Linked DNA regions of Oryctolagus cuniculus. The protein of the gene in region 1 purifies or fractionates together with the protein of each later gene. This does not show direct contact. Links are inferred from orthologs where the notes say so. Each region holds a gene or a part of one and is shown in the gene's direction. Other genes may lie near its edges. The genes, in order: LRRK2, MYO1C, MYO1B, tubulin alpha-1A chain, SLC25A11, SLC25A22 and SSR4.

Region 1 (3,500 bases):
CTAGTGACTCCACAGGCTACAGAAAATGAGATTTAGTTATAGGTTAAACATGGACCTCTTATACATGCCAGCAGGCATTTTTATCTTTGCTGTGAATTGTCTGAGCTGCAGGTAGTGCCTGCAGTGCCTCTCCTTTGCCTTATATTCTTGATTGTTGTTGTTTTTCATTGCACCAGCCAATTCAATTTTTTAAATTTATTATGCATTTCTGGTGCTAGACGCATGCCCTCAAATGCATTTTCTTTTCTTTCTTTCTTTTTTTTTTTTTTTGAAAGGCAGAGTGGATAGTGAAAGAGACAGAGAGAAAGGTCTTCCTTTTGCCGTTGGTTCACCCTCCAATGGCTGCCGCAGCCAGCGTGCTGCAGCCGGCACACCGCGCTGATCCGATGGCAGGAGCCAGGTACTTATCCTGGTCTCCCATGGGGTGCAGGGCCCAAGCACTTGGGCCATCCTCCACTGCACTCCCTGGCCACAGCAGAGAGCTGGCCTAGAAGAGGGGCAACTGGGACAGAATCCGGTGCCCCGACCGGGACTAGAACCCGGTGTGCCGGTGCCGCAAGGCGGAGGATTAGCCTAGTGAGCCACGGCGCCGGCCCCCCAAATGCATTTTCTGCTGAAGCTCCAGTGCCTGGAGGAGAGATTGCCACCGGGAGGTGTTCAGGACACCTTGCCCTAATGGATTCAAGCCCTTTGCTCACGTTTCTGCTGTTTCTTGATACAGGGTCGACCAAACTGCAGTCCCACGCGAGGCAGTCAGACAGCGTGTCCTCCCTGGCTTCGGAGAGGGAGTACATCACCTCCTTAGACCTATCAGCGAATGAACTCAGGGAGGTCGATGCCCTGAGCCGCAGGGGCTGCCTGAGTGGCCACTTGGAGCACCTGGAGAGGCTAGAGCTGCAGCAGAATGCACTGGTCAGCTTCCCACAGCCACTCTGCGAGGTACGCCCCCCGCCCGACTCCCAGTGCTGGAGGAGGCTTGCACGCCCCCCGCCTGACTCCCAGTGCTGGAGGAGCCCAGCACCGTCCAGTCTTCCACACCCCCCGCCCAACTCCCAGTGCTGGAGGAGCCCGGCACCATCCAGTCTTCCACGTCCCCTGCCCGACTCCCAGTGCTGGAGGAGCCCAGCACCGTCCAGTCTTCCACGCCCCCCAGCCGGACTCCCAGTGCTGGAGGAGGCTTGCACCGTCCAGTCTTCCACACCCCCAGCCGGACTCCCAATGCTGGAGGAGCCCGGCACCGTCCAGTCTTCCACGCCCCCAGCCCGACTCCCAATGCTGGAGGAGCCCGGCACCGTCAGGTCTTCCAGTCTCCTCCTGTGTCATTGCACAGGACGCCCCCTGTTCCTCTGCTGTCCACATGGGTATCAGTCTGGGTGGTGTGCAGAGACCCCTTTGAGAGCAAGCAGTGGAGACAGAGACTGGGTTAAAATGCAATTCTAGGTTCTGTCTCGGTAACACAGGGTATGTGTCAGCATCTGTCAGAGCTGCCTGCTGATGGCTCCATATAGTCGGTTTGAGTCCAGATAACTGAAGCTTTTAAAGTATTTTAGGGAGACGAGAGTTTAACCTGGTTTGGTAGTAGCTGTGTGACCATGAGAACTGCTATCTGCCTGTTTTTTTTTTTTTTTTAAATAACTCTTTTTTTATTTTTTGACAGGCAGAGTGGACAGTGAGAGAGTGAGACAGAGAGAAAGGTCTTCCTTTGCCGTTGGTTCACCCTCAATGGCCGCCGCAGCCGGCGCACCGCACTGATCCGATGGCAGGAGCCAGGAGCCAGGTGCTTTTCCTGGTCTCCCATGGGGTGCAGGGCCCAAGCACCTGGGCCATCCTCCACTGCACTCCCTGGCCATAGCAGAGAGCTGGCCTGGAAGAGGGGCAACCAGGACAGAATCCGGCGCCCCAACCGGGACTAGAACCCGGTGTGCCGGCGCCGCTAGGCGGAGGATTAGCCTAGTGAGCTGCGGCGCCGGCCAGCTATCTGCCTGTTCTGAGCCTTCATTTCCTCCACTGTAAATTGAGAGGCTCAGCTAACTGACCATGATGACTTTGTGTTTTAAAGATTTACTTATTTATTTGAAAGACTCAGTTACAGGAGAAAGGGAGCGAGAAAGAAGGAGACAGAGAGTTTGCATCTACTGGTTCACTCCCCAAATGGCCATAACAACCAGGGCTGGGCCAGGCCCTACTGAGGAGCTAGGAGCTTCATCTGGGTCTCCCATGTGGGTTCAGGGGCCCAGGGACCTAGGTCATCTTTCACTGCTTTCCCAGATATGTTAGCAGGGAACTTGACTGGAAGTCAAACAACCAGTACTGGAATGCCAATGCTGCAAGTGGTGGCTTAATGTGCTGTGACAAAACACTGGCCCTGATCATGAGGACTTTTTGGGGGGAGAGGGGTTGAAATTGTGTGTAACTTGGAGTGGGCGTTTATCCTGGAGGTTAAGATGCATGTGTGCTATGTTGGAATGCCAGGTTCAGTACCCAGCGCTAGCTCCTGACTTCAGCTTCCTGCTAACGTAGACCCTGGAAGGCAACAGTCATGGCTCAAGTGATTGGGTTGCTGCTACCCAAATAGGAGATCTTCATTGAGTTCTCAGTCCCTGCCTTCAGCCTATTTGTTGTTTGCATTTACAGCAATCAGCCAACAGATAGGAACAGTGTATGTGTGTGAATGAATAAAATAAAAAGTTATATGTAACTTAGGAATTAATTGTCTGCTCAAACTTCTAATCTTGAGAGAATTAAAGTATAGCAGTTTGTTGATAGCATAGTCCTCTGAATATGGACTTTCTCTTCTTTGTATTATGGGTCAGACGTTTTCAAAGCCAAAGATGATACGGCAAATTAAATTAATACAAACATTTAAATTACTAAGCTGATTTCTTGGATTGAATTGCAAAGTTTGTTAAAGAATAATACCAGTCTTTTTAAAATGAATCTTACTGCAAATGCATTTCTCTTTCTTCTTTTATTTTTATTTACTTATTTTTGTTTTATTTGAAAGGCAGATACAAAGAGAGAGAGACAGAAAAACAGAGTGAAGAAGGGACAGAGAGTGGGAGCGAGTGAGCCAGCTTTTATGCAGTGATTCAGTCTCCAGGGCCTGGGCCAGAGCCAAAGCCAGGAGCCAGGAACTCAGCCTGGTCTTCTCGCTGAGAATGAGGGATTCAAGTACGTGAGCCATCACCTGCTCCTTCAAGGTACACATTAGCAGGAAGCTGGAATCGGGAGTGGAGCCAGAGTTTGATCGCAGACACTCCAGTATAGGATGGAGGTTTCCCAAGGAGCAGCCACCCCACGTTTTGAGATGCTTTTAAACCAGTGTTGTGAGAGCTTTGAGTATATACCCCTGAAGCTTACATTTATCTCCACGCACGTCCAAGAGGCGTCTTTTGTCTCTCGTTCGCCTGCTTAAATCCTTCCCATTACCCAGGTCCCAGGGGAAAGTTCACTGTGTTGCCCTCTGCTTCTTTGCTCTGTCTTCCTTCCAATCAGGCCGG
Region 2 (4,169 bases), on another chromosome or scaffold:
ATCATGGGTGCTGCCACCTAGCACCCTTCATCTGGCAGACAGGGATCCTGGGGCTCAGAGAGGTGGTGGATCCCTCCCTGGCTTCCCACGCAGCCGTGGTGGCTTCATGGCGGACCAGCAATACAGAACCCCCGTGGGCAGCCCCGTTGTCTACAAAAAACAAACCACGTGCCATTCACAGGATCCCCATGAGAGGGCAGCTGCCAGCCTGAAACAGACACTGCACCCACCTCTCCCCTCTCCGTTTTTGTTAACGTGACCCTGGGGCTGGATCTGGGGCTTCCTGACTCCAGGGGTCCCCGTTTTCTCCAGCTCACCTCTCCCCACGTGGATGTCTTCACACACTCCTTCCCCCGCCTCCTTGCCTGGGAGGGGAGTTCAGCAGAGATTGAGAGGCGGAAGGGGAAAGGGGAACACTCTCCCTCCTCTTGGCCCCAGTCAGGATATGGCCGCTCTGGGCCCACCCCTGACCCGCTGGGTGGAAACAGGAAATATGTGAGACTTGGTGTGCGCTGGGTCTCTGTGCCTGGCTCCACGGCTGATAAGAAGCCATTGTGTGGCCGCCAGGGATGAGCTGCCCTGGATAGATGTGCTTCCCGGAGGAAGGAAGGAAGCCTTGCCGGCCTTTCCTGGGCGGGGGACACTGGGGAGGGAGGAGAGGGCCCCTGGCTGGCTGCACAGGCCCCCTGGGCGGCAGCCCCTCCCGTGCCAGCCTGTTTCCCCAACCACTTCCCCGTCCTCACTTCCTATGAGGAATGGCTGGAGACTGGAGGGCTCAGGCCCAGGCCAGGAAAGTGTCAGCTATGATTTAGCAACAAGAAAGATGGAAAAACAGGAACACTGCGGGGGTGGGGGTACCTGAGGGGACCGCTGAAAAGTGAGGCAAGAACAGGGTGTGAGGTGGTGCACACCTAAGGAACTCAGCAGTGAGTCTTCCAGGCATTCGCGGCTCCAGAGGAGGGGAGGGTGGGGACCTCCCCACAGTGCCCCCTGCCTCTCCTAACGATCCCTCTGCCCAGTATGGCCATCCATCAGCAGCCCTGGCTCCTCAAATGCAAGGGGCTACCTGCTGCCCTCAGGCAGCCAAGCTACAGGGACAATCAAGAGGGACAGCGCCTTTTGAAAGATCCTCTTGGCTCAGGGGAGGCTGTGCCTTCTGCTTTGGGGAGTGGCCACTGTGCCCTCTGCTGATACCAGAGAGTGGGCAGCGGGGAGAAGTCCAGCCACAGGGCTGCCTTCTTACCTATGGCCTGGAGCCCAGGGTCCCCCCCACGGGTGACTGCCTCAGCTCCCCTGGCTACCTGGGACAAGAGGCATTTCCTCCACCCCTCAGCTCCTCCTCTTCCTGCCCCAGCCCTGCGGGCCAAGAGGCCTTCCAATCAGACCTGGGCTGCTCCAGCTGTGTCCTGAGGAGCTGGACCAGCCACATCCCCTGGGGCCGGAATTGAAGCAGAACCAAGTGGCCATCCCAGCCTGAAACCACAGATTCCTGGCTCCGGGAGCGGCCAGGGCAGGCAGCTTCAGCCCAGGGGCTCAGCACTCTGGCTGTCCACAGGGCGGAATGGCGCTGCAAGTGGAGCTGATCCCCACGGGGGAGATCATCCGCGTGGTTCATCCCCACAGGCCCTGCAAGCTTGTAAGTGGGGCGCTCTGGGCTGGGAGGAAGGGTGGCACTGTCCAGCCAGGGCCTGGCAGCCCCTCAGGAAAGAGGTGAGCGCTGCGAGGGTTTGGGTCCTGGCGTAGAAACCAAAGGGGCAAGAAGGCGTAAGGGGAAAGGAAGGGATAGAGTGTGCGGGATTAAGGATCAGTAGAAGCACTTTCTAAAATGGAGATCAGGGTTTCAGTCGCTTCTCCAGCTTGCTGGTCGGGGACCTGGGCATGACAAGCTACTCAGGGCGAGGGACTAGTGCACGTAGAGCACCAGGCGCATAGTACAGGCTCAGCTGATGCCCCTCCTTTCTCGTTGGCCAAGGAACTGAGGTCTCCCGGCTCAGAGCAGTAGCATGGGCGCAGAGGCGGGTGAAGGGAGAGATAGTCAGACCTGGGGAAGAACTGCTCTGGCCTGGCGGGCAAGGGAGGGAGAGTCCGGTTCACTCTGGGGGTGAGGAGGGAGAACCCCCAACGGGCGCGCCCACCCACCCACTCTGCAGAGTGGACCGCTTCCTAGGTGGGAGGCGGATGCGTGTGTGCGCGCGCGCGCGCGACTACGACGACGCGCCTTGTCCCGGGAAGCGGTGAAGGAGCGCGCTGGGCACAAGTCTCCCCTGGCCGGGGCCGGAGCCTGGGCCGGCTGGGGCGGGGCGGGGCCGGAGGGCGCGCGCGCGCGCCGGAGTCTGGGCCTTGCCCGGGATGACGACAGGCGGCGGCCCGGCCCCCGGCGGGCCCTGGGCGGGGAGAGCGTGCCGGGGCCGCGGACTCCCGAGCTGGTCACGCCGCCCAGCCCGGCCCCCGCCAGCGCACCCCAACAGCCGAGCCGGTGGGTACGCTGGGCAGGGCGGGAAGCGGGCGCGTAGCTCCGGGAGGCCTCTGCTGGCTGGCGGGTTACGGGAAAAGGCAGGCGGCCAGCTCGGGGATACCGTACAGGAGGCGGGGGTCGCCGGCGGGGGAACGCTGGGACCAGGATCAGCTCGACCTGGCCCGTGTGGGATTCCCCCCAGGTCCCGGAGGCGCGGGGACCAGGCCTGGTGGGACTTGGATTACTTGCGGGGAACCTGAAGGCGGGGAAGAGCGACTGGGGTTTGGGCACCTAGCGCGCTCTTTCGGGCCCCTCCCGCAGCCCTGCTCTGCCTCTGGGTTCCGGAGAAGCCGCCGGAGACCCGCCCCTTTCCGTTCTCCGCCCCCAGGGCCCGGCAGCGCTGGTGGCCCCTTGCGTGCCTCTGCGCGCGCGTGCGGTGGGTGGGGGCTCCGAGATGAATGAGACAGGGAACGGTGGCTCCCCGCTTTATTCAGCTCCCGGCAAGCTCGGGCCGCCGGCTCACCCTCCCTGTCTCTGAGAGTCATTCATTCACTCGTTCATTCATTGATTCATGCGGGAGTCTAGGAAGGAGTTTGGGAGCCCCCACTGTACCTAGCAGGGTGTGCGCCTGGGGCAGTCTGACCAGCGATAAGCTGGGGGCTGTGTGTTGGGGATAGGCAGGGAGGGGTTCTGCAGAACTTGATACCTGAGCCGAGTCTCCCAGGACCACTGAGAGTCAGGGAGGTGGGCCAGGGCAGCTGCAGGTGCAAAGGCGTGGAGGCTTAGAGAGCCACGTGTGGCTGCTGGCAGAGGCACCGCGGCCCCGCCTGGCTGTGTGTGGCTTAGTAGAGGCCTGGGGAGAGTAGGGACTGGAATGCAGGGGCAGTGAGTTACACTGAGACCAGTGGGGCCTGCAGAGCAGCAGTGGGTGTGAACCACAGGCCTGGCGCATACAGGCTGCCCTATCAACCTTCACTCTCCGCACGGGAGATGTTCCTGGGCGGCGCTGCATTTGTAAATAGCACAGCCTGCTGTGGAAAGTGGACTGGTAGGAGGAAGGCGGGGTGCGGAGTGAGGGGCTGCGGTGCTGGTCCAGGAGAGAAGTGGTGGAGAAGCAGAAAGAGGTTTTAGCAGGTGGTGACTGCTTGGTGTGGGGCGGGGAGGGGGCAGGGCAGGCCTCTCCGTGCCCACGTGATGGCCAGCTGGAGGTGCCGCCTCCTCTTCATAGAGGACTCAGCCAGGAGAACAGGGTAGGAGGCCAAGTGCTCTTTTGCTTTTGCTGGCCCCCAGGCAGAGACGTCTAGCTGGCCAAAGGCCCCTGGTTCTGGAGTGAGGGCACAGCCCTTGACTGGGCCCTGCGAACCATCAGGGTAGACCCCCAAGTCCCCATCTTCTCCCCACTCCCCAAGGGTCCGTGAAGCCCAGAACAGTGCTTGGTGGGGCAGCCTGGTCCCAGGCCCAAGATTTGTTTGAGAAATATACATAAGTTGAGTACCTGCACTGTGCGTAGCACTGCGCCGCCAGTGAGACCTGCTGTGTCTCCCCTGCCCCAGGAGGCCCTCCGCTCAGAGCCTCAGAGCGGGGAGCAGCTGTCTGCCCCTCCCCCAGCCCGGCCCGCAGGCCCCTGACCCACAATAGCTAAAGGGCAATGGATGGCCCACGTGGGCTGGGTCCTCTCCATCCCCTGCGCTCACAGCAAACAGCCTCCCCAAGG
Region 3 (3,500 bases), on another chromosome or scaffold:
TGTGTGTATTTACTGGATTGAATTCAATTTGTAGAATCCAATCTTGAAAATCTCTGGAAGGATGATTATTGAAAGAGCAGTTAAGCAGTTATCCCTGGAAATGAAGCTACTGAGAACCTGATATCATGATATGAAACGGGATAAAGATGTTTTTGTAACTCAGAAAACTGTTTTCACTTTGGCTTTTTTATAGGTCTGGTGTGGAGGTTCTGTTTAATGAGTTGGAGATTCCGGTGGAAGAATATTCCTTTGGTCGATCAAAGATATTCATCCGAAACCCGAGAACAGTAAGTAACCAGAACCCTCACACTTTGAACTTGGGTTAAAGTCTGTGACGTTTCCTGAGATGCTGCCACAAAATGTCACCTCTTGTGGTGATCTGCAAACATCCGAGATAATGGGACTTGCGTTTGCTGTGAAAAGTCCAAGTATTTCATCTGCTGAGTTGGATGACATTTAAGAAATCCTAAGCTATCATGAAACAATAAAACCTCCCTAATTCATGGCAACTGGAGGTAAATTCAGTCCATAATATGTGAATTATACATAATTTAGAAACTACAGCAGTACTATTTTTAGATAATATGAAGGCACACAGTTGAAAATATTTTTAAACTTAAAAAAGCATTTTACAAATTCCACTGCATAGAACTCCAAGGGAGCCATTTTATAAATGATAGATGGATTATAGAGCATCATTACTATAGCAGTTTATTTGGTGATTTGAGATTTACAGAATTTGTAAAGTGTTGAAATTTGAGAAAATCCACCAGCATCTGCTTTCCGCTACAGACTGAGTATTCCTTCTGCAGACTGCTCCAAACCAGAAGTGTTTCAGATTCCAGAGTTTTTTAGATTTTGGAATATTCACATAGAATTTACAGATTGAGCATCCCTAATCCAAAAATCTGAGACCTGCAGATTTCAGATGAGGGATTCTCTGTACGTATTTTCATCCTCATGGACAACGTGAAAAATGGTCTTAAGCTCCGGTCAGTCCTTCTCTGATTTGTCATGAATTGTGGATCACTGGAGTAAAGAGTGTGGCACGTCCCTCAGTTCATCAGAACGTCCATCCACATCACCTGTAGTTACCGTGACGGCTTTTCCCCTCAATGTGGTTGAGCCCGATATCGTGGTGGTTTTCCCTCCTGAAGATCCCTTGCACGTGTACCGTGAGGTCTCGGAGGACTTTTGGTAAGTCCCTCCCTGTTTTCTTACTAGTTATTCAAATTAGAAGACCTGAGGAAGCAACGGCTCGAGGACCTGGCCACTCTGATTCAGAAGATTTATCGGGGGTGGAAGTGCCGTACCCACTTCCTGCTCATGAAGAGAAGCCAAATTGTGATTGCAGCCTGGTACAGGAGATACGCGGTGAGATGCGCAGGCATTTGTAACCTGAATTGACGGGGCTAAGTTGCCAACCTTTATTGTGTTCTAACTCTGTGTGTAATTTGTATGTGGTTAATTCTCCCAGCAACCTCATGAGATGAATGCACTTAGGACTGATTTATTTATTTATTTTAATAAACCCAGGCTCTGAGCTTACAGCCCATGCCTGCACAGCTTTGAGGGGCAGAGCTTGGATTTGAATCCGAGACAACTTCTGAGCTTAGGTTTAGCGTGTGTGCCACACTGCCTTCCACAGATCTAGATGTAGGGAGTGGTCAAAGTACATCCTTAATTTGGTCATCCGAGAGGAAGTGACAATGTCATCTAATCCTTCAACTGTAGTTGGGTTAATTTTCCAAATAATTAGCTGTTTTCCATTATAGCAGCATTAAAAACGGCTTTAATTCCCGGAAGCTAAGGCCGTATTTCAGTATTTCAGAATTCTGGCTTCGGAGAAAGGATTGAATTATGTTGACTTAATTAATATGGGATTTCTTTTTAAAGCTCTTTCTCCCTTGATTGTAGACGTTTTGTTGGAGGTGAGCCACAGGTTTTCAAGAAGCGTGAAAGTTTGTCTCTTGGTAGCTGGAACTTGGGTTGTGTTCTCACAGTATGAGTTTTAGTGATAAGAACACTACTTCCAAATGCTTTTTCATCCTATGCTTTTTTACTATAGAGTGACTTGGAAAATTAATTAAATTTGCACTCAAATCGCCTTTGGTGAATTCTCTTTTTCGGCTCTGAGAGCTTTTGCTACAAGGCAATATGCAGTCAAGACATAATTTACGCTGACTTAGTCTCACATAATATATTGTAGCATTTTATTTCAAGTTTTAGTTAATAAAATTTACCTAATGAGTAAGCTTAATCCTTAAGAATATTTTTTTTTTAAAGATTTATTGGTTCACTCCCCAAATGGCTGCTATGGCCAAGGCTGAGGCCAGGAGCCAGGAACTCCATCCAAGTCTCTTACATGGGTGCAGGGGCCCAAGCACTTGGGCCATCTTCCACTGCTTCCCTAGGTGCGTTAGCAGGGAGCTGGATGGGAAGCGGAGCAGCCGGGGCTGGAACAGGCGCCCATATGGGACTCTAGAGTCAGGGGCTGCAGCTTAACTCGCTGAGCCACAGTGCCGGCCCTTAAAGAATCTTTAAAATTGCTTGCTGTAGTTAAGAGTGCAAGTACAGCACAAGTCTTGAAGTATGGGAGTGACCAGCATGCTGGTGGCGGATTCTCTGTGTGCACAGCAGGGCTGCTTAACTCTTTGTGCGGGATTCAGAGTGCTCTGCTTTCTGTTTGCCCAAGAAAGGAAGGGCCAGCAAACAGCTGTCCTCCACGAGCCCTTCTTAGCACTTTTTCTTTTGAGGCCATTCAGAAAATTCAAGTTTAAAGTGTGTTGAGGGATGGGCCAGCTCTGTGGCACAGTGGGTTGAGCTGCTGTCTGCAATGCCTGCCTCCCATCTGGGTGCCAGTTCAAGTCCTGGCTGCTCGTGGGACAGCAGCAGCAGATGGTTTAAGTCCCTGGGCTCCTGCACACATGTAGGAGACCTAGAAGAAGCTCTTGGCTCTTGGCTTTGGCCTGATCCAGCCCCAGCCATTGTGACGGGCGTGAACCAGTGGAGGGAGATCAATCAGTCAATCTCTGTAATTCTGACTTTCTAATAAATAAATAAACCTTTAAAAAAACATAAGTGAATTGCAGGGTAAGCATCTGGTGTAGTAGTTAGGCTGCAGCTTAGGATGCCCACCTCCCATACTGGTGTGCCTACTTTCAAGTCCCAGCTCCTCTCCCCAATTCTAGCTTCCTGCTAATGCTTAACCTGGGAGGCAGCAGGGGATGACTCAAGTCATTGGGTCCCTTGGTGCCAGTGTTGTGTGCGTTAAGCCTTCATCTGCGACACCAGTATCCCATATCAGAGTGCTGGTTTGAGTTGCGGGTGCTCCACTTGCAATCCAGCTCAGTACATGGGTGTCTGCCACATGGGAGACCTGAATAGAGTTCTTGACTCCTGGCTTTGGCCTGGCCTGGCCCAGCCCTGGCTGTGTGGCCTTTTGGAGAGTGAACCAATAGATTGAAGATCTCCCTCTGTCTGTCTGTCTGTCTGTCTCA
Region 4 (4,154 bases), on another chromosome or scaffold:
GGTGTGGCTAGCGCAGTCCCACAGCCGCCATTGTCATCCCACAACCTGCAGTGCTGCCCACGCCCTGCTCTGCCCACCAGCCCGCAGCAGTGACTGGGCTCCACAGGGCGCTGTAGTAATGCAGCCCCCGAAAATCAGTTGCTGGAAATTGAAAGGAAAAACAGAAATTTCTATTTTTGATAGTCAAACAAATCTCTTTACCTCTGAAATGTCATCCACAATGGCAAGAGGTGCACAGCCCGGAGACCTATTTTGCATAGCCCATCCTTGATGAGAATGGAGCCGTTCCGAGCAGCAAACCATTTCCTAGGGGGGAAAGCAAAGCCTTTTTTGTCCCCAAGAGGCCTCTGGGCAGCCACCAGTCTCCAGCTGAATAGCAGCGGTGTGAGGCCGGCTAAGGTTCCCACAGTTAGGAGGGTGTGGACCCCATTCTTATAAGCACTATATAAAAATGGACTGCGGTTGAACTGAGACTGCAGAGTTGCCTGCAGATGGAGGCAACAATACAAAGTGGTCCTCTTTTTGCATCCTACATCTTTCTTGTCTTCTTTTTAATTTAGTGTTTTGGTTACTCTTTTTTGTTTGTAACTTTCCCAAAAGGCGAGCAATGCAGAAATATAATTGCACACACAAGGGATACCGGTTTCTGCAGTCAATTCTTTCTCCTTGTGTTTTCCCAATTCTGTATTGGGAACGATGATTCATTTCTACATCTCACAAAATATATTACAGAGTCTTTTGGCAAATGAGTATCTCTCATCAGCTAACCCTCATGTGTCCATTAGCTCTCACCGACTGCAATGCTAGAACCTTTTGTGTTCTTTTATGCGGTATGGCTATGCCTCCCATCACCCATTTTGTTGAGCTATTTGGGTGTCTGTGCCCAAAAGAAGATATGAAAATACATTAATTGAACCTGCAGAGCCTTTTTTTTTTTTTTTTGGATGACTGTATTACCGGGTCCTTTTCTAATTAAAATAAGAGAGAAAGGGAAAGCATATTTACTCAAACCATTTTGAGTATCGCTCCCGTCTTTCCCACTTTATTTTTAAAGCAATTCGAGATGCTGGTTCGTAACCAAATGTAGCTTAGTGTACTGTCAGGGGGCGATTCTTCACGAAGATTCCATCTCAACACAAATGCTACGATTGAAACCGTACCTAGGTGATTTTAGCTGCAGGTTGAGACTGAAGCGATAGAAAATGATCTAGCCGCAGTCCTCTTTCTTCCCTTCCGCCCCTCCCGAGAGCCCCACCCCGTAATGGATGCTGGGCTGCCGGCTTTGGCTCGGTCTCTTTGTCTGAAGGATGCAGTCTATGGATACTGGGGGAAAACGGGTGGGGGAGCGATTACCTCATCCCATGTCGCCTGCACCAATCAGCACTCTTCTGCCGCGGCTTCTCCGGGCAGAGAGAGGGGTCTGGACCAACAGGAAGAGGCCCCGGCCCATCCCCATGGCGACCGGGCTGTATATAGGCGGCCGCCACCGCCCGAGCCGCAGGTTCTCTTACATCGACCGCCTAAGAGTCGCGCTGTAAGAAGCAGCAGCCTCCCTCTCGGCCTCCGCGCGCAGCAGCAACCATGGTAAGCGCCGGCCCCCCAGGCGGCCCGGGGAGCCCTTTGTAGCCTTTTTTGTCCAGGGTGGCTTTGTTTGCTTTCGGTCCCTACGCCCTGCCGCTGCCGCAGTGCGGAGCCAGGGCCCGGCCGGGACGAACAAAGGCGACGCCAGGGAGTGTTTGTCGCCGAGGACTCCCCGGGGCCGCAGCTGCCCCTCCGGCGGGGCGGGAGGGTCCGCAGCCGGGCGGGGCGTGCGCTCCGCGCTCGTGGGGCTCCCCGGGGACCTGCAGCCCGGGGGCGCTGGGTGTAGCTGGGCGCGGAGAGGAGGACGGGAACCGAGGGAAGCCTCGGGTTGGCGCAAGACCCTTGCGTTCTAGAGAGACAGCCGTCTACTAGCGGCTGGGGCCGGGGCGGCGCAGGGGCGGGGTTGTTTGTTTCTGGCTTCCCCGGTGTTGGAGCCGCCGGACCGGGTTCGCCCTCGCTCAGCCTCCGCGGTCACGGGGAAGCCTTGAATAAAAGCCTTGCATCACCGCGGAACTGAAGACTTCAAAAGGGTTTTCATTACCTGCTAAAGCTCAGATGAAAAAAAATTGTTTTCTCGAGGCCCAGAATCCCAATTCACAAGCCCTTTAAAGTCTGGTCCAGCGTGGCCACGCCCTTGAGGGCTGCGGGGCCGGGCTGTGGGGGGGCGCAGGGTCCGCCCTGGGTGCCTGCTGGGCTGCGGTCGGGAACGCCTGCCCCGCCCCCGCCCCAGGGAGCAGACAATGAAAATTGCAGCCCTAAAAGTGACAATCTCTGTGGGATGAGGAGTAAGAATTTTATGTGGTGGGTAAAGAATTTCAGAAAGAAAACACTTTTTTGTTGCTTTAAATACATATTTCACTGTCCTTTCACTGGGCTTTTGTTCTTTGCTAGCTTCTCATATAACATTTCTTCCTAACTCGCAAACTGTTGTTTCAAAAATACTAACAATTTTTCAGTTTTTTACAGTGGAGGCGATTCTGTAAAAACTTAAAGTAACACAATTGCTGCAGACAAAGAATTACATTCTGCTCTCCAGCCGTCTTTTGTTCTAGGGTGTCTTCATTAATTCATTTCGATTCAGGAGCATGGTCCCAGGCTGGGTCAGGGGAAGAACTAGCAAAACAGCACAATGAGATCATATAGGCAGTTGCTGGAAATAGAGCTTGCTCTGTTAAATAATGTAGCAGACAGTACAGGCTAGCGCCAGGCACAGCAAATAACGGCAGTGCAGCAATGCAGAGGCAGACTTTTGTCTAGCTTCTAATAACTCCTAGTATTGATGGATCCTGCAGGCAGACTGCAGAAGGGTGTGGCTTGCAGCTGCAGTACAGATGCCTCTTGGAATCCTAAGTCCTCTGCAGAAGAAACTAATCTCCAGTTAAAGGGGGAAAAAAGCAGTAAAATGAATTCCAATCCATGATTGGATTGAATTTAATTTACTTCATTTTACAAAATCTGTGCTTTGAAGCCATAAAAAAATCTTCCATTCAAGCATGGCTCTGTGAACAATGGGCTTGCACCATGTGCTAAACTGTGCCAAGGCGACATTATTATTCAGACCACACCCATCTGCAGTATTTGTAGCAGGTGCTTTTCTTTCATCGTTTCTATCATATTAGGGATAAAACTGCAAATAAATTTGAGGAAGATCTAATTACTAGAAATACTTTTAGAAATTTGCTGAAAATTCAAAATGCTAATACAAAATAATTTATATATATTTTTCTCTTTCCCTCACACAGCGTGAGTGCATCTCCATCCACGTCGGCCAGGCTGGTGTCCAGATCGGCAATGCCTGCTGGGAGCTCTACTGCCTGGAACACGGCATCCAGCCCGATGGCCAGATGCCAAGTGACAAGACCATTGGGGGAGGAGACGACTCCTTCAACACCTTCTTCAGTGAGACGGGCGCTGGCAAGCACGTGCCCAGGGCCGTGTTTGTAGACCTGGAGCCTACGGTCATTGGTGAGTTGGCCTCCGTGGCCTCAGTGAGAGCCCCGGGTGCTGGGACAGGTCTGGGACAATTCTGTGAGGGGGGAGCCACTGGCACCCCGGGGCCCTGCAGGCTGTCAGTGACAGGTGGCTGGTCTGCTTCCCTCTTCCAGATGAAGTTCGCACCGGCACCTACCGCCAGCTCTTCCACCCCGAGCAGCTCATCACAGGCAAGGAAGATGCTGCCAATAACTATGCCCGCGGGCACTACACCATTGGCAAGGAGATCATTGACCTCGTCCTGGACCGAATTCGCAAGCTGGTATGTTTCCTCTCAACAATAAAGTACATTAGTAAGTTAAGGGATGCTGTTTGGTTGAAACAGAATTGAAATTGAAAAAAGGTTTTTAAAAATTCAATTAAAACATGAACTATCTGATATCATTTTGTAAATACTGAGAATTTTTAAATGAAGAAATGTTGAGTAATTCCAAGGTCTTCGCTTTTTAAAAAGCATTTGTTAAAGTAAGATCTAAATTCTTAGAGATGTACGAAAAGTGAGACTATTTACTATGATTGTATCACAGACAACAAAGACTTAATCTTTTCTATTCCTCTCTTTTAAACAGGCTGACCAGTGC
Region 5 (4,084 bases), on another chromosome or scaffold:
TTTGCAGTCTCCGGGTAAGCCCAGAGTGGAGAGTGGGCACTGTCTTCTTCCCCTAGATTCTGGATTCCACGCATGTTCACGCACTTCGATCCTAACCGGACTCTAACTATCCCCAGCCAGACCCGGGGCATGGCTCCTCAACCCCGCCCAGGATGGAGGATTTGGACAAAGAGGGGAGGGGAAAAAAAAAAAAAAAAGAACGCCAATCACCTGGAGTCCCTCCTGGCTCAGGGAGGCCCCAAACAGAGCTGGCAGGTCTGCAAAGTCCATGCTGGCATTGTGCTCCGAGGTCTGGGGGCACAAAACGTCCACGTTCCCCTCCGGCCCGCAACGCCCCCCTCCGGCGCCCTTCCTCCACCCGCCCCACAGACTCACCGCTCGGATGAGGCCCCGGATGGGGGCTGCTCCCCACAGCACGGCGGCCACAACCACAGGAAGCGGGAAGGCCGCGCGGTGCATGGCAGCGGGCGGGGAGAGGCCGAGGAGGCCGCGGCCCGGGAGCAGAAGCAGAAGCGGGGCTCTGCGCCCTCCCCGCCGCTCCCTCAGGATCCCAGGGGTCCAACCACCCCCAGGTCCCACTTCCCAGCTACATGGGGGCGCCGGGGAAGGAACCCCGACCCGGGGAGCGAGGCCCCAAGCCCGTTTAGCGGAGCTGGGTCGGAGACTCTAAATGGACCCTTTTCTGGATTGGGGACAAAACGGGGAGAGGGGACGGAAGGAAACACAGGTGACAGCAAAACTTCTGGAAGGGTGGGGGAGCCCCGGGAGGTGGGACTTCCGGCCAGGTGGGCCGTCTTCCTATCCCTGGGAAAAAGGTTTCCGACAAAGAGTCAGGCCGCTTCCAGCATTGGCCGCTCAAGATGAAGGACTTCCGGTCCTGAAAGGCCGGTTAAGAGAAAAATTAGAGATGGAGGGATTGTCTGTGGAAACGGAGGGCGCACGGCTGCCCCCCAGAAGAAGAGCGAATCATTTCCCCCTTAGTGCCCGGGAACCTGGGGCTTCCCTGTTTACAAACCTCTCCGCTCCCTGTGGCCGCCGCTGCCGCCGCACCTGCAAGTCTCGCGAGAAGGCTTACCAGCCCACTCCCCCGCCCCCACGGCTGCCGAAAGCTTGCTCTACATATCGCGAGAGCCCTCCTAACTCTGGGAGCCGGACTGACTAGATCTCGCGAGACCTCGAACAGCTTGTCTAGTTTCCCGCGATTCCAAGTCGGTGAAGACTGTGCCTATACGCCAGTTTCCAACCAAGCCACGCCCCTTCCCGCACGCAGCCTTTAAGCTCCTCCTTCAGGGTCGCCTTACTCCCGGCGGCCTTTGCGCTTTGCGCCTGCGCGGGCGCCGGCTTGCAGCTGGTGCTGGACCTGGGAGCCGGAGGGGCGTGCGCGCGCGCCCTCGCCCTGTTGCGCGCGCGGTGTCACCTTGGGCGCGAGCGGGGCCGCGCGCTCTCGGGACCCGGAGCCAGGGCCATTGAGTGGCGATGGCGGCGACGGCGAGTCCCGGGGCCGGCGGGATGGACGGGAAGCCCCGTACCTCCCCTAAGTCCGTCAAGTTCCTGTTTGGGGGCCTGGCCGGGTAAGCTCAGGCCCCAGGGATGGGAAAGGAGGAGGAAGGGACGGACGGGCCCGGTTCATCTCTGGGACTGTTTCAGTGAACTGAGCCTGCTTGAGGGTCAGCGCGATCCCCAGCGTGTTGGGAGGTTCCTGATGGGCTGCCCCTGACTGCATGCAGGGTCTTGGCACGATCCCCCACCCCGCACCTCCCCAGTCCGTTGCTTGGTTCCGCAGGGCTGTTTAGGGTTCCATGACTCTAGGGGACTACTTAGTGCCCCAGGTCGTGGATACGCCCTTGGCCCGCTCCCTGGGTCGCACTGCATGCGGTCCCGGCCCACCGGGCCCACCGATGGACTCCCGTGGATCTGCTTGGAGTAGTTTCATTGCATGACCCCTAATGGACAATGGACTTTCCAGAACCCGCTGCTGTTGGTACACACAGAGACTGTCAGACACATGCCTACCAGCCCTCCTTAATCCCTAATCCGAGGCAGGCCCTGACCTTAGTAACCCCTTGTGCTAGGCTGCAGTAGGCAGCGGGAGATCTTGCACACGTGGCCCTTGACCCTGCTCCCACCTTCCTCCAGGATGGGAGCTACGGTTTTTGTGCAGCCCCTGGACCTGGTGAAGAACCGGATGCAGCTGAGCGGGGAAGGTGCCAAGACCAAAGAGTACAAAACCAGCTTCCATGCCCTTACCAGCATCCTGAAGGCGGAAGGGATAAGGGGCATTTACACCGGGTACTGGGGCCTCCAAGGTTGGGGGGAGGGTGTGGGTTTGGCAGATGCAAGCCTTGGCCCCACACACTGACCCCTCTGCTCTCCAGGCTGTCAGCTGGCCTGCTGCGCCAGGCCACCTACACCACTACTCGTCTTGGCATCTATACCGTGCTGTTTGAGCGCCTGACTGGGGCTGATGGGACACCCCCTGGCTTTCTGCTAAAGGCTGTGATTGGCATGACCGCAGGTGCAACTGGTGCTTTTGTGGGAACACCAGCGGAGGTGGCTCTGATCCGCATGACTGCCGATGGCCGGTGAGTTCCAACTCGGAGCCTGACCTCAGCCCCGATCCCCGGGATCTAGAATGAAATGACTTGCTTTTCTTTTTCTTTTTAAGACTTATTTATTTGAAAGGCAGAGTTACAGAGAGAGAGAGAAAGATAGGGAGAGCAAGAGCTTCCATCTGCTGGTTCACTCCCCAGATGGCTGCAATGGCCAGGGCTGGGCCAGGCCAGAGCCAGGAGCTTCACCGGGTGTCCCACATTGGGGCAGGGCCCCCAGGGCTTGGGCCGTCTTCCACTGCTTTTCCTAGGGGCATCAGAAGTGGAGCAGCTGCAACTTGAACCGGCGCTGATAGAGGAGTTGCAGGCGGCAGCTTAACCTGTTGCACCTTGACGCCTGCCCCCAAATGACCACTTTTTAACCCCAGATCTGGAACAGAGCGCTCACCTGTTCAGGCTTCCAGTCCAGTGCTCCCACGGGGCCAGGTGGGCCTTGCTGATCCTGTCCTCTCTTTGCCTTCCCACCAGGCTTCCGGCTGACCAGCGCCGTGGCTACAAAAATGTGTTTAATGCCTTGGTTCGAATCGTCCGGGAAGAGGGGGTCCTCACTCTGTGGCGGGTGAGTGAAGGGGCTGGAGACCTCGCGGGTGTGGGGTCAGGCCTCCGGCCTTTCTGACTGTCCACACTCCCCACCTCCAGGGCTGTGTCCCCACCATGGCCCGGGCTGTCGTCGTCAATGCTGCCCAGCTCGCCTCCTACTCCCAGTCCAAGCAGTTTTTGCTGGACTCAGGTGAGACCCAGAGCCGGACCCGTGGCCGCCAGCCTGACCCGAGCCACGTCCAGGCTGACGGTCATCCCCTTCCCCCGGCTCTCTCCCTCCAGGCTACTTCTCTGACAACATCCTGTGCCACTTCTGCGCCAGCATGATCAGTGGCCTCGTCACCACTGCCGCCTCCATGCCCGTGGACATTGTCAAGACCCGGTGCGTGCAGGCCCGGACCTGGTGAGGGGCTGGAGGACCCCCTCTCTGTGGCTCATGCCCCTGCTGCTTCTCTTTTAGGATCCAGAACATGCGCATGATTGATGGGAAGCCAGAGTACAGAAACGGGCTGGTGAGGAGCAGGACTTGGGGCTTGGGCTGGAGTGTTCGGATGCCCCGGGAGGGCCATGGGTCAGGGGCACAGGGCCCTACAGGCCAGGTCCTGGCCCCAGCGCCCCGCCTGCTTGTCTTCCTAGGACGTGCTGGTGAAGGTCGTGCGCTACGAGGGCTTCTTCAGCCTGTGGAAGGGCTTCACGCCGTACTACGCCCGCCTGGGTCCCCACACGGTCCTCACCTTCATCTTCTTGGAGCAGATGAACAAGGCCTACAAGCGCCTCTTCCTTAGTGGCTGAGGTGGCTGGGGGCTGGAGCCGGCGGCCCCTGCAGTGGCTGCGCCCCGGCGAGGTGGAGGGCCTGGACTCTGCCGCCCGGGGCCCCTCTATTTATTTCCCCTCCGCAGAGTGGTCTTCTCCTCGGTGGTAAAGGACTTTGGGCT
Region 6 (4,100 bases), on another chromosome or scaffold:
GCCGGAGCTCTGAACCCCGCCTGATCTCCCAGGTGTCCTTCTACCGGGGCTCGGTGCCCACGGAGGTGCCCAAGGAGGCCGCCCGGCAGAGGAAGGGTGCGGACGCCCTCTGGATGGCCACTCTGCCCCTCAAGCTGCCGGTGAGGGCAGGGGCAGGGCTGGCCCGGGGTGACGGAGTGTGGAGTGGCGTTAGGGGCTCACCGCACACTCTCCCTGCCACAGAGACTGCGGGCGCCCAAGGGGCGGGGGCAGGGGGCCAGCCTCTCCCTGGCACCTCTGAACCTGGGGGACGCTGAGAACGGCTTCCTGACTCAGGCCAACCTGCTGAGCGTGGCCGGGCGCCTGGGGCCCGACTGGCCCACGGTGGCCCTGCACCTGGGCCTGCCCTACGGGGAGCTGCAGCGCATCCGCCACGACTTCCGGTGAGGGGAGGCGGGGTGGGGCCGGCGCAGGCTGGGGAGGGAGGGTGCCGCCGCCGGGGGCCCAGGGAGCACGGTGCCAGCGCCTCTGCCCCCTCCCAGGGATGACCTGGACGGGCAGACCCGCCACATGCTGTTCTCCTGGGCCGAGCGCCAGGCCGGGCAGCCGGGGGCCGCGGGGCTGCTGGTGAGGGCGCTGGAGCAGAGTGACCGGCGCGACGTGGCCGAAGAAGTCCGCGCGGTCTTGGACCTCGGCCACCGCAAGTACCAGGACAGCATCCGGCGCACAGGCCTGGCCCCCGAGGACCCCCCGCTGCCGGGGCCTCCAGCCTCACAGGCCCTGGCCTAGGCCTGGCCGGCTTGGGCTGGGCAGAGCCCCCAGCGCCCGGCCTCTCAGTGGTCGCGTGTGCAACAAATACAGATGGTGCCATCTGCCTCCCGGAGCTCCGTTCATTTGTGGGGCGGAGGGGGGAGGCCGGGTGCCGAGAGGGCGGCCGTGGCGGCCGGGCAGGGGCTCTGTGCGCCGTGCATCTCCCCAGGGAGCCGGAGGAGCCTGTGCTACAAAGTACCCGCAGTGGCCGACCGGATACAAAGTTGCCCTGTGGCTGAGCTGTGTGTCCCTGCCCTGGCCGCCCGCTTGGCCAGTGGTCCCCAAGCGCGCCCACGTGTCTGGCTTGGGATTGGGACCCCCTCCCCTTCCACAGCACCCCCACCCGCGGCCCCTGGGGCCTCGGCCTGAAGAAGCGCTGCCTTGAGGGCCCGACTCCGGGCTCCCAGGTGCCGGCGGGCGCGCGGCGGCGGCACGGCCGGGCGCAGTGGCCCCGGCGGCCGGGAGGGGGAGCCGAAGCCCGCGTGCGGGCCGGGGCCGGGGCCGGGGCCGGGGGCGGAGCGCGCGCGGCGCCGAGCGGACGCGCCTCCCCGCCTAGGTGCTGGCGGGCGCGCGGCGCGGCGGGGAGGCGAGCGCGGCGCGGCTCGGCGGAGCGCGGTGAGTGCCCGGGGGCGGCCGCGTGCGCCCACTGGGGCGCGGCCGGGGCGCCTCGGCGCGGGGAGGTGACAGCGGCCGGCCAGGGCGCAGGGCGGCCGTGGCAGGGCCGGAACCGGCGGATGCTGCGGCCGCCCTGTCGCCCGGGTGTGGGAGGCCGTGCTCGGCCCCGGCGGTGCCGGGCGCGCTCCCCGTGCACACGTGTCCTCGAGGGTGGGAGCCTGGCGCCTGAGCTCAGGAGCGGCCGGGCCAGGGGCGCGCTCGCGGCCCCCCCCCCCCCCCGCGGACATGTGTGGACACGTGCGTGGCCGGAGTCCCGGCAGGGCCTGAGCCGGCAGCGGGCGCCCCCGACCGCTTCTCCTTTGTCCGCCGTTCGGGGCGCGGCGCCATGGAAGACCCTGTCCGAGCCTCTCCAGCCGCGGGACAGAAAGCGATTGAATGGGGAGGCAGCGGCCAGCCCGGGCTCCGAGCCTCACCCCCCACTGCCTTTCTTGGGAGTAGGAGGAGCCGGCAGCCTCCTCCGTGGGAGAATTCACCCTGCAGGCCCGGGAGAAGCAGCGCCGGCCCGGGCTCTGCTGCTGTCCCCAGCCGGCCCGGGGCCTCGGTTTACCCAGCGGGGAGGGAGTGGACAGCGAGGGCTGGCTTAGCCCTGGGGCCTTTGTGGTCCGGCCAGGACCGCTGGGTTTCTGAGGCAACGTGGGTGTCCCTGGAGGGCCTGTGACAGCTGTCTCTCCCGCAGGGCTGGGAGCCTCCGTGGAGGCAGGAGGAGGGGGATGAGTCCAGGACGCTGCTCTTTGCTCCCCGTCCCAGGGCACAGAGCCTCCTTCGCTCTGCTGAGGACTGGCCCCTGCCATGTGGGTGCCCCCACCCCAGATGGGACCTGAGGGCTGGGCCCGACCTCGCCCTAGAAGGCCTCAGGGCAGCTGGAAGAGCTGGGTGGGGCTGGGGGGAGGGAGAGATCAGGTTGAAGTTCAGAGGTCGGCAGGAGGCCCTGGGTGGGGCTGAGCCAGGTGAGCGAGAGCCTCGGTGACACTCAGCCAGCCCCGTCTTCCCTACTGACCCTGTGTGCTCCTGCCCCTAAGGGACACAAAGGCACGGGTGGGCACTGACTCATCTCCCCCCGGGGCACAGGACAGACCGCCCTCCCGGTCCTGGGGCCCTGGACAGGTTCCGGTTGGGAGGCGGTGCTGCACTCGGCCCAAAGCTACAGACAGGACCCCCGGCTACCACACCCCCAGCCGCGGGAGGCGGTGGGTCCCCGGACCACTTCCCCCATCCCTGAGGGCCCAGGCCCTGCTGGGCTCTGAGAAATGTCCCACCTCCTCTTCCCTTAGCCCCAGCTCGCCCAAAGTGAAAGAGAAAGTCGCCCCCCCCACAGGCCCGCCCCACCCCGCCCCTCGGCCAATCCCTGAGCCCCCCTCGCCTCCTCCCCCAGCCTCCCGGCTGCCGGCTTTATCTGCCAGGGGAGGCGGCTTTCTGGAGTGCTGGAGGATCCAGTGCCGCCGGCACCTCAGCGCGGGGGCTGGGGGGAGAGGCGCAAGCTTTCGGAGGCACCTTGGGTGCGAGCCAGCGAGCGACCCCGGGCAGCAGGCTGCGGGGTGAGTCTGTGATAGCTGACCCCCGACGGGACAGGGGTGGGGGCGACACGGGAGAGGATCCAGGGCTCCAGGACCCCCCATTTCACTTCTGATGGCTGCCCTCCATGGGAAGCCCCTGAGGCTGGCTCTGGCCCTGCGCTGATGGGAGACGCCCCTTCTTTCTTGCCTGCAGAGGATGGGGGGCAACCATGGGGAGCCCCAGGCCAGCCCCCCCGGCTGCCCACTTCCAAGGCCCCCGGAGGTCCCAGTGGCCACGGCCCTCTTGGCAGCCCTGAGCCAGGTGCTGGTGGGGTTTCTGGGGCGCCAGCCCCCATCCTGGAGAGGCCGATGCCAGCGTGTCTGCTCAAGGGCAGGGTAGGGGTGACGGTCACCACAACCGGGTCGGTCCAGGGGTCAAGGTGCACGGGCAGCCACGCTGACCCATGCCGCTGTCCCCCAGAGCTGCCTGGCCCTTTAAAAGCTGGAGCTCAGCCCGTGTGCACGTGAGCGCCAGCGTGTGCGTGTGGGAGGCCAGCCGGGAGGACACGGGTGGGGGTGAGGGGGTAGACATGCTGGTGGCTGCAGCCTGGGGCGGGGGTGAGGGGCAGACGCTGCCTCCCCTCTGCAGGCCCTGCTCTATGCCTGCCCCTCTCCCCTGCAGCACAGAAGCGCAGCGGCAGGCACCTACACAGTCCCTGCAGGTGGGAGGCCAGCACCTCCCCCTCGCCCGTCCACCCTCTGGCCACCACCGACACCGCCTCCCCTCCCCCGCCGCGTCTCCTGCTCCTGCCTGGCTGTGCCGGAGTTAAATGGCTGAGAAACAGATCAGGTCAGCAGCAACCCCCAGCCCCCCCCCCCCGCCCCAGGCCCCATCTGTGGTCGGGGGGCAGTCCTGACGGCCCCCTGCCCACACAGCCTGCCCGCCAAGCTCATCAACGGCGGCATCGCCGGCCTGATCGGGGTCACCTGCGTGTTCCCCATCGACCTGGCCAAGACGCGGCTGCAGAACCAGCAGAATGGCCAGCGCATGTACTCCAGCATGTGAGTGCCCGGCGGCCGGGGGCAGCTCCGCCCCTCCCTCATTCTTGGAAAGGGAGAACCCTCCTGGGGCAGGGCAGGGGC
Region 7 (4,235 bases), on another chromosome or scaffold:
GTGGAAGACCTCTCTCCCTCTCTCTGCAGCTCTGAGTTTCCAATAAACGAGTTAAGTCTTAAAAAAGAGAAAGACCTCTGGAAAGACTGTCTGTGCTGCTGTCACTCCCTCAGGGAGCAGGGGGAAGTCAGCTTTTAAACAGACTCTCACAAAGCCTCAGGGCACGGGGGAGGGGCGGGGAGGTGCACAGCCGAGAGCGCTGTCTCCGGGGACTGTCAGCAAAGTCACAGACTTCCTGAAGGTCAAAGTTGACAACATGAAGTTTCTTCCCCTCAGTGGACAGAAAGAGGCGGCCACGTAGCGGGGCAGTGGGAGAGCAAGGCCTGCAGGTCATCTCTCTCATCTCCCAGGGCCAGGGCTGGCTCGCCGCTACAGAGCACGAGCTCTGGGGACAGGAAGCCACACTAAACAACCAAGCCCTCAAAAGCACCACCGAGGGATAGAAGCCCCCACCTCCATCCCCGCCCCCGCCAGGCGGTTCCGGAGGGCGTCCGGGGCCGACAGAGAGTGGGGGGTGGGGCACGGGGATGGGGGTTACTGGGAACGTCTGATTCTCCACCCCATCGGGACAGGTGGCGAAGCGCACTAGAAGGTAACCTGAGTAGCAAGTGAGTACGGGACGAGCCGGGATACTCCTGAATGTCTCGGGAGGACTCTCACAGACACTAGGGAGCCGCCGCAGCCCAACAGATACACACCCCTGGGAGAGACGGACCGAGCCAATCTCGGCCATTCCACAGCCGCATACTCACACCCACACTCCAAACACCTCCCGCCCTCTCCCCCGACGCACAGAGACAGCAGAAGCGGCCAATCAACCCTGGCCCTCTCCCTGCCTCTTAGCGGGGCCCGCATCCAATGGAACATCAGACCGTTTTAGGAGCCTCTAACCCGGCCCGGCCGTAAGGGTGTGCGAGGCCCCGCGTAGCGGACGCTGCTGCTGCGCCGTGGCCTGCTCCCCCTCACCTCCCAAGGACGGCTGAGGACGGCTGGCTTGAACACCGCCCTCGCGACGGCACCTGCAGTCGTCGTCAACTTCAGCGCCATGTTGGAAAATGAGAGCCGCGGCAGATTCCAACAGTTATGACATCGCTATCGCGAGAGTTCGGCGCTGGGCGAAATCCCCACGGCAGACGTGCGCCCGGCGCTGCGCATGCGCGCAGCCGCTCCGGTGGCCACGCCCCCTTCCGGTGCCTGGAGCGTCGCGGCTCCCGGCCGCGCTGCCGCTGCCGCTGCCGCCATCTTAGGGGGGGCGCGACAAGCTGGGCCCCTGGCTCGGGGAGGGGACACGTCAGTGCCCCTAGCGACGTCACGAAGCCTGGCCCGGCCCGCCGGAGCATGATTGGCTATCGCGGCCGCTTACGCGTCGCGCTTCCTCGTCTGCCCCTCGTGTTCAGGCGAGCTCGCTCTTTTTCGCGTCGGCAGAGAAGAGGCGATGGCGGCGATGGCATCTCTCGGCGCCCTGGCGCTGCTCCTGCTCTCCGGCCTGTCCTGCTGCTCAGGTAGCGGCCTGGCCGGAGTTTATTTCTGGCGAGCCTCTGTCCCACGGCAGGTGGTGCTGGGGGGAGGAAGGGTGCGGGCGAAGCGAGGGCAGGCCCTTCCCGGGGCTCGCTGTTGCAGACCGGGCCTTTCCCCGAGAGGTAGCCGGCGTCGCGGCGCAGCCACCAGTGGACCACACGCACGTTTGCCAAGCAGCCAGGCTGCGGGGAGAAACAGTCAAATCCTTCCGTCATCCGCTCGTGATAAAGAGCCGCAAAGCCTACACTGTGGGCCCCGGCTGTCAGCTCCAGCAGGGAAGGTGACACACGTCGCAGCCGTCGCCTGGCTTCAGAGGGGGGTCGGGCAGGATCCACCTCCGGCAGTGCGGAGCGGGCCAGGCTTCCCCAGCAGGCCAGAGAGCCGGAGTGTGGGGCTGAAACGGGCAGCAGGGGCCTTGAGTGCTTCCGAGCCCCGGGGCAGGGTCGAGGACAGCCTGGAGTCAGCCTGGAGTGTGGCTAAAAGGGAGTTGTTGCACATTCACGCTGGTGCCAGCCCGGCCCTCCCGACTGCCCGCACCTCTCTCACCCCGCAGTTCCCTGCCCTGTACCAGGGATGTCTGGCAAGAGACATAGCTGGCCGTGAACCCCTCGGGGGCTCCATAGGGAAAGGCCCAATGGAGCGGCAGGCAGAGAAGACTGGCCCCCAACTCACTGCCCCCGCACCCCCCCAACACACACCCCCTCCACCCCACGCCCCGGCATGTTCCTCCTGCCCGGAGCCAAAGCGCTGTCCGGCTTAGCGCACTTGAGCCATCTCTCTGCCTCCTGTCCGCCACCTCGGTGGCATCGTCCTTTCCCACGGGTCCTCAGGGCTGCTGGAGGCAGATGCCCTTCCCGTCCTCTGGACTGATCCTGGCCTGGACCCCGGGGCTCCCTGTCGTGGGTGCCAGCACTGAAGCGAGCCCCCTGCACACATTCGCCCCCCTTCCGCTGGCATGAGTCCTCACTGCAAAGCCCTCCCTGTTCCCCCAGCCTTCCCCCCCCCCTTGCCATCGCACTCGTGCCTGACCCCCGGCTGTGTGTCGCACACCTCCCGTGGCAGGGGCAGGAGGGCCCTTGTGCCCTGGCTCCAGCACGCCCACGCCGGCCTTGCCTCCTCCCTGCAGCAGAGGCGTGCGTGGAGCCCCAGATCACCCCTTCTTACTACACCACTTCTGACGCCGTGATTTCCACCGAGACCGTCTTCATCGTGGAGATCTCCCTCACGTGCAAGAACAGGGTCCAGGTGGGGCAGTGCGGCTTCCGCCAGGAGGACGGAGGGGCAAGAGGTGGGCGTGGCCAGGGGTGCTCCTCTTGGAACTCAGTTCCTGGGGAGCAGGAGGGGGCAGGGCACAGCAAGGCCCCTTTCCTACGGGCCTGCTCTGCTCTGGGTCTGCGCTGCGGGAGAGAGCGAGGCTCACGCCCAGCCTCGCCCTTCTGCTCTGGATGCCGCTTGCCAGAGAGAGAGAGTCTGGGTGTGCCGCAAGTTCGGGATTGCACAGGCCCGCGTTCCTAAAAGCCCCAAGCGGGGAGTAGGCCCTTTCTGAAGGGCAGCCCTCCTTGGGCAATGGTGGGGGTCTCCCTGGCGCCAGCACCCCCTCGCGGGTTCCGGGAACAGACTCGCTCCCAGAGGACACAGACCCAGAGAGACAGTGCCAGCAGGCGGTGGGTGTTGCTCTCCCAGCGTGGCTCCGGTTGTGCCAGCCTCACCTCTTCGGTGGTTGCATGGTGCTCCTGGCCAGAGAGAGGAGGTGACTCCCCTTTGTCTTCTCACCTAGAACATGGCTCTTTACGCTGATGTCAGTGGAAAACAGTTCCCTGTCACCCGGGGTCAGGACGTGGGGCGGTACCAGGTAAGCGACGGCAGATCTGCGTGCTCTCGGGGGCCCACTGAGTGTCGCTGTGTCACGGCCCCCTCACGTGCACCCTGCCCACCCGCCCAGGTGTCCTGGAGCCTGGACCACAAGAGCGCTCACGCGGGCACCTACGAGGTCAGGTTCTTTGACGAGGAGTCTTACAGCCTCCTGAGGAAGGTGAGGACTGCTCGGGACCTGTCGTCCTGCAGCTGCCCCTGCCCTGCTCACCCTGCTGTCCGCCCCGGCTGGCACTGGGCGGGGGCTCACCGGTGCAGGGCACAGCGACAGCCCCGTCCCGTGCTCCTGCACGCCTGTGCCACCTGCCCCTCGTCCCTTCCTCTCCTCCCCTCGTCACCCCGTTGGCCACCTCTGACCCCAGCCCCTGCCCTCCTTTGCAGGCGCAGAGAAATAATGAGGACATTTCCATCATCCCGCCCCTGTTCACAGTCAGTGTGGACCATCGGGTGAGTGGCCTGGCTCCTCGCTTGGGGGTGTGGGGTGAGGGAAGGTTCTGTGCTCTCTGCCTGCTGGGCCGTGATTGGCCAGTGAGTCTGTGCCCCCGAGGGAAGCTGAGCTGGCTTTGATCTTTCTTGTAGGGCACTTGGAACGGACCCTGGGTCTCCACGGAGGTGCTGGCCGCAGGCATTGGCTTAGTGATCTACTACCTGGCCTTCAGCGCAAAGACCCACATCCAGGCCTGAGAGTGGCAGGCCCCTCAGCCCTCCTTCCTTAGTGAATAAACAGTCACTGGGCGCTACGAGCGGCGCGTCCAGGACCCAGGGCTGCTGCCTTGTGTCGCTCTGCTTTTCCCACACGGTGCGATCTGGGGGCCAGCTCCTCGTCTGCCTGGACAGCAGAGGCA

What was found.
Region 2: the proteins of LRRK2 (region 1) and MYO1C purify together in Homo sapiens (affinity purification with mass spectrometry; 3 studies listed by BioGRID and IntAct, with this or other methods). This does not show direct contact. The link is inferred for Oryctolagus cuniculus from reciprocal best matches to the Homo sapiens genes LRRK2 and MYO1C.
Region 3: the proteins of LRRK2 (region 1) and MYO1B purify together in Homo sapiens (affinity purification with mass spectrometry; 3 studies listed by BioGRID and IntAct, with this or other methods). This does not show direct contact. The link is inferred for Oryctolagus cuniculus from reciprocal best matches to the Homo sapiens genes LRRK2 and MYO1B.
Region 4: the proteins of LRRK2 (region 1) and tubulin alpha-1A chain purify together in Homo sapiens (affinity purification with western blotting; 4 studies listed by BioGRID and IntAct, with this or other methods). This does not show direct contact. The link is inferred for Oryctolagus cuniculus from reciprocal best matches to the Homo sapiens genes LRRK2 and TUBA1A.
Region 5: the proteins of LRRK2 (region 1) and SLC25A11 purify together in Homo sapiens (co-immunoprecipitation; 3 studies listed by IntAct, with this or other methods). This does not show direct contact. The link is inferred for Oryctolagus cuniculus from reciprocal best matches to the Homo sapiens genes LRRK2 and SLC25A11.
Region 6: the proteins of LRRK2 (region 1) and SLC25A22 purify together in Homo sapiens (co-immunoprecipitation; 3 studies listed by IntAct, with this or other methods). This does not show direct contact. The link is inferred for Oryctolagus cuniculus from reciprocal best matches to the Homo sapiens genes LRRK2 and SLC25A22.
Region 7: the proteins of LRRK2 (region 1) and SSR4 purify together in Homo sapiens (co-immunoprecipitation; 3 studies listed by IntAct, with this or other methods). This does not show direct contact. The link is inferred for Oryctolagus cuniculus from reciprocal best matches to the Homo sapiens genes LRRK2 and SSR4.

What each region holds. Positions count from the first base shown.
Region 1 is NC_091440.1:131,827,533-131,831,032, forward strand, and holds part of LRRK2 (leucine-rich repeat serine/threonine-protein kinase 2), read left to right. Parts: intron 1-721; coding exon 722-939; intron 940-3,500. UniProt on the Homo sapiens protein: Serine/threonine-protein kinase which phosphorylates a broad range of proteins involved in multiple processes such as neuronal plasticity, innate immunity, autophagy, and vesicle trafficking.
Region 2 is NC_091448.1:47,036,011-47,040,179, reverse strand, and holds the start of MYO1C (unconventional myosin-Ic), read left to right. Parts: upstream 1-1,369; 5' UTR 1,370-1,561; coding exon 1,562-1,636; intron 1,637-2,338; exon of another isoform or gene 2,339-2,476; intron 2,477-4,169.
Region 3 is NC_091434.1:48,897,695-48,901,194, reverse strand, and holds part of MYO1B (unconventional myosin-Ib), read left to right. Parts: intron 1-193; coding exon 194-287; intron 288-1,224; coding exon 1,225-1,374; intron 1,375-3,500. UniProt on the Homo sapiens protein: Motor protein that may participate in process critical to neuronal development and function such as cell migration, neurite outgrowth and vesicular transport.
Region 4 is NC_091442.1:52,629,035-52,633,188, reverse strand, and holds the start of tubulin alpha-1A chain, read left to right. Parts: upstream 1-1,354; 5' UTR 1,355-1,581; coding exon 1,582-1,584; intron 1,585-2,122; exon of another isoform or gene 2,123-2,229; intron 2,230-3,323; coding exon 3,324-3,546; intron 3,547-3,686; coding exon 3,687-3,835; intron 3,836-4,142; coding exon 4,143-4,154. UniProt on the Homo sapiens protein: Tubulin is the major constituent of microtubules, a cylinder consisting of laterally associated linear protofilaments composed of alpha- and beta-tubulin heterodimers.
Region 5 is NC_091448.1:51,302,300-51,306,383, forward strand, and holds the start of SLC25A11 (mitochondrial 2-oxoglutarate/malate carrier protein), read left to right. Parts: upstream 1-1,284; 5' UTR 1,285-1,476; coding exon 1,477-1,571; intron 1,572-2,136; coding exon 2,137-2,289; intron 2,290-2,375; coding exon 2,376-2,582; intron 2,583-3,077; coding exon 3,078-3,168; intron 3,169-3,248; coding exon 3,249-3,339; intron 3,340-3,431; coding exon 3,432-3,531; intron 3,532-3,609; coding exon 3,610-3,661; intron 3,662-3,785; coding exon 3,786-3,941; 3' UTR 3,942-4,084. Other genes in the region: E3 ubiquitin-protein ligase RNF167, read right to left, coding at 211-291, 376-459. UniProt on the Homo sapiens protein: Catalyzes the transport of 2-oxoglutarate (alpha-oxoglutarate) across the inner mitochondrial membrane in an electroneutral exchange for malate.
Region 6 is NC_091432.1:325,871-329,970, reverse strand, and holds the start of SLC25A22 (mitochondrial glutamate carrier 1), read left to right. Parts: upstream 1-1,300; 5' UTR 1,301-1,404; intron 1,405-2,836; 5' UTR 2,837-2,999; intron 3,000-3,639; 5' UTR 3,640-3,787; coding exon 3,788-3,807; intron 3,808-3,893; coding exon 3,894-4,019; intron 4,020-4,100. Other genes in the region: PIDD1 (p53-induced death domain-containing protein 1), read left to right, coding at 33-140, 223-422, 522-768. UniProt on the Homo sapiens protein: Mitochondrial glutamate/H(+) symporter. Responsible for the transport of glutamate from the cytosol into the mitochondrial matrix with the concomitant import of a proton. Plays a role in the control of glucose-stimulated insulin secretion.
Region 7 is NC_091453.1:132,150,508-132,154,742, forward strand, and holds SSR4 (translocon-associated protein subunit delta precursor), read left to right. Parts: upstream 1-1,435; coding exon 1,436-1,502; intron 1,503-2,644; coding exon 2,645-2,763; intron 2,764-3,295; coding exon 3,296-3,370; intron 3,371-3,460; coding exon 3,461-3,550; intron 3,551-3,771; coding exon 3,772-3,837; intron 3,838-3,969; coding exon 3,970-4,074; downstream 4,075-4,235. Other genes in the region: IDH3G (isocitrate dehydrogenase [NAD] subunit gamma, mitochondrial), read right to left, coding at 967-1,047. UniProt on the Homo sapiens protein: TRAP proteins are part of a complex whose function is to bind calcium to the ER membrane and thereby regulate the retention of ER resident proteins.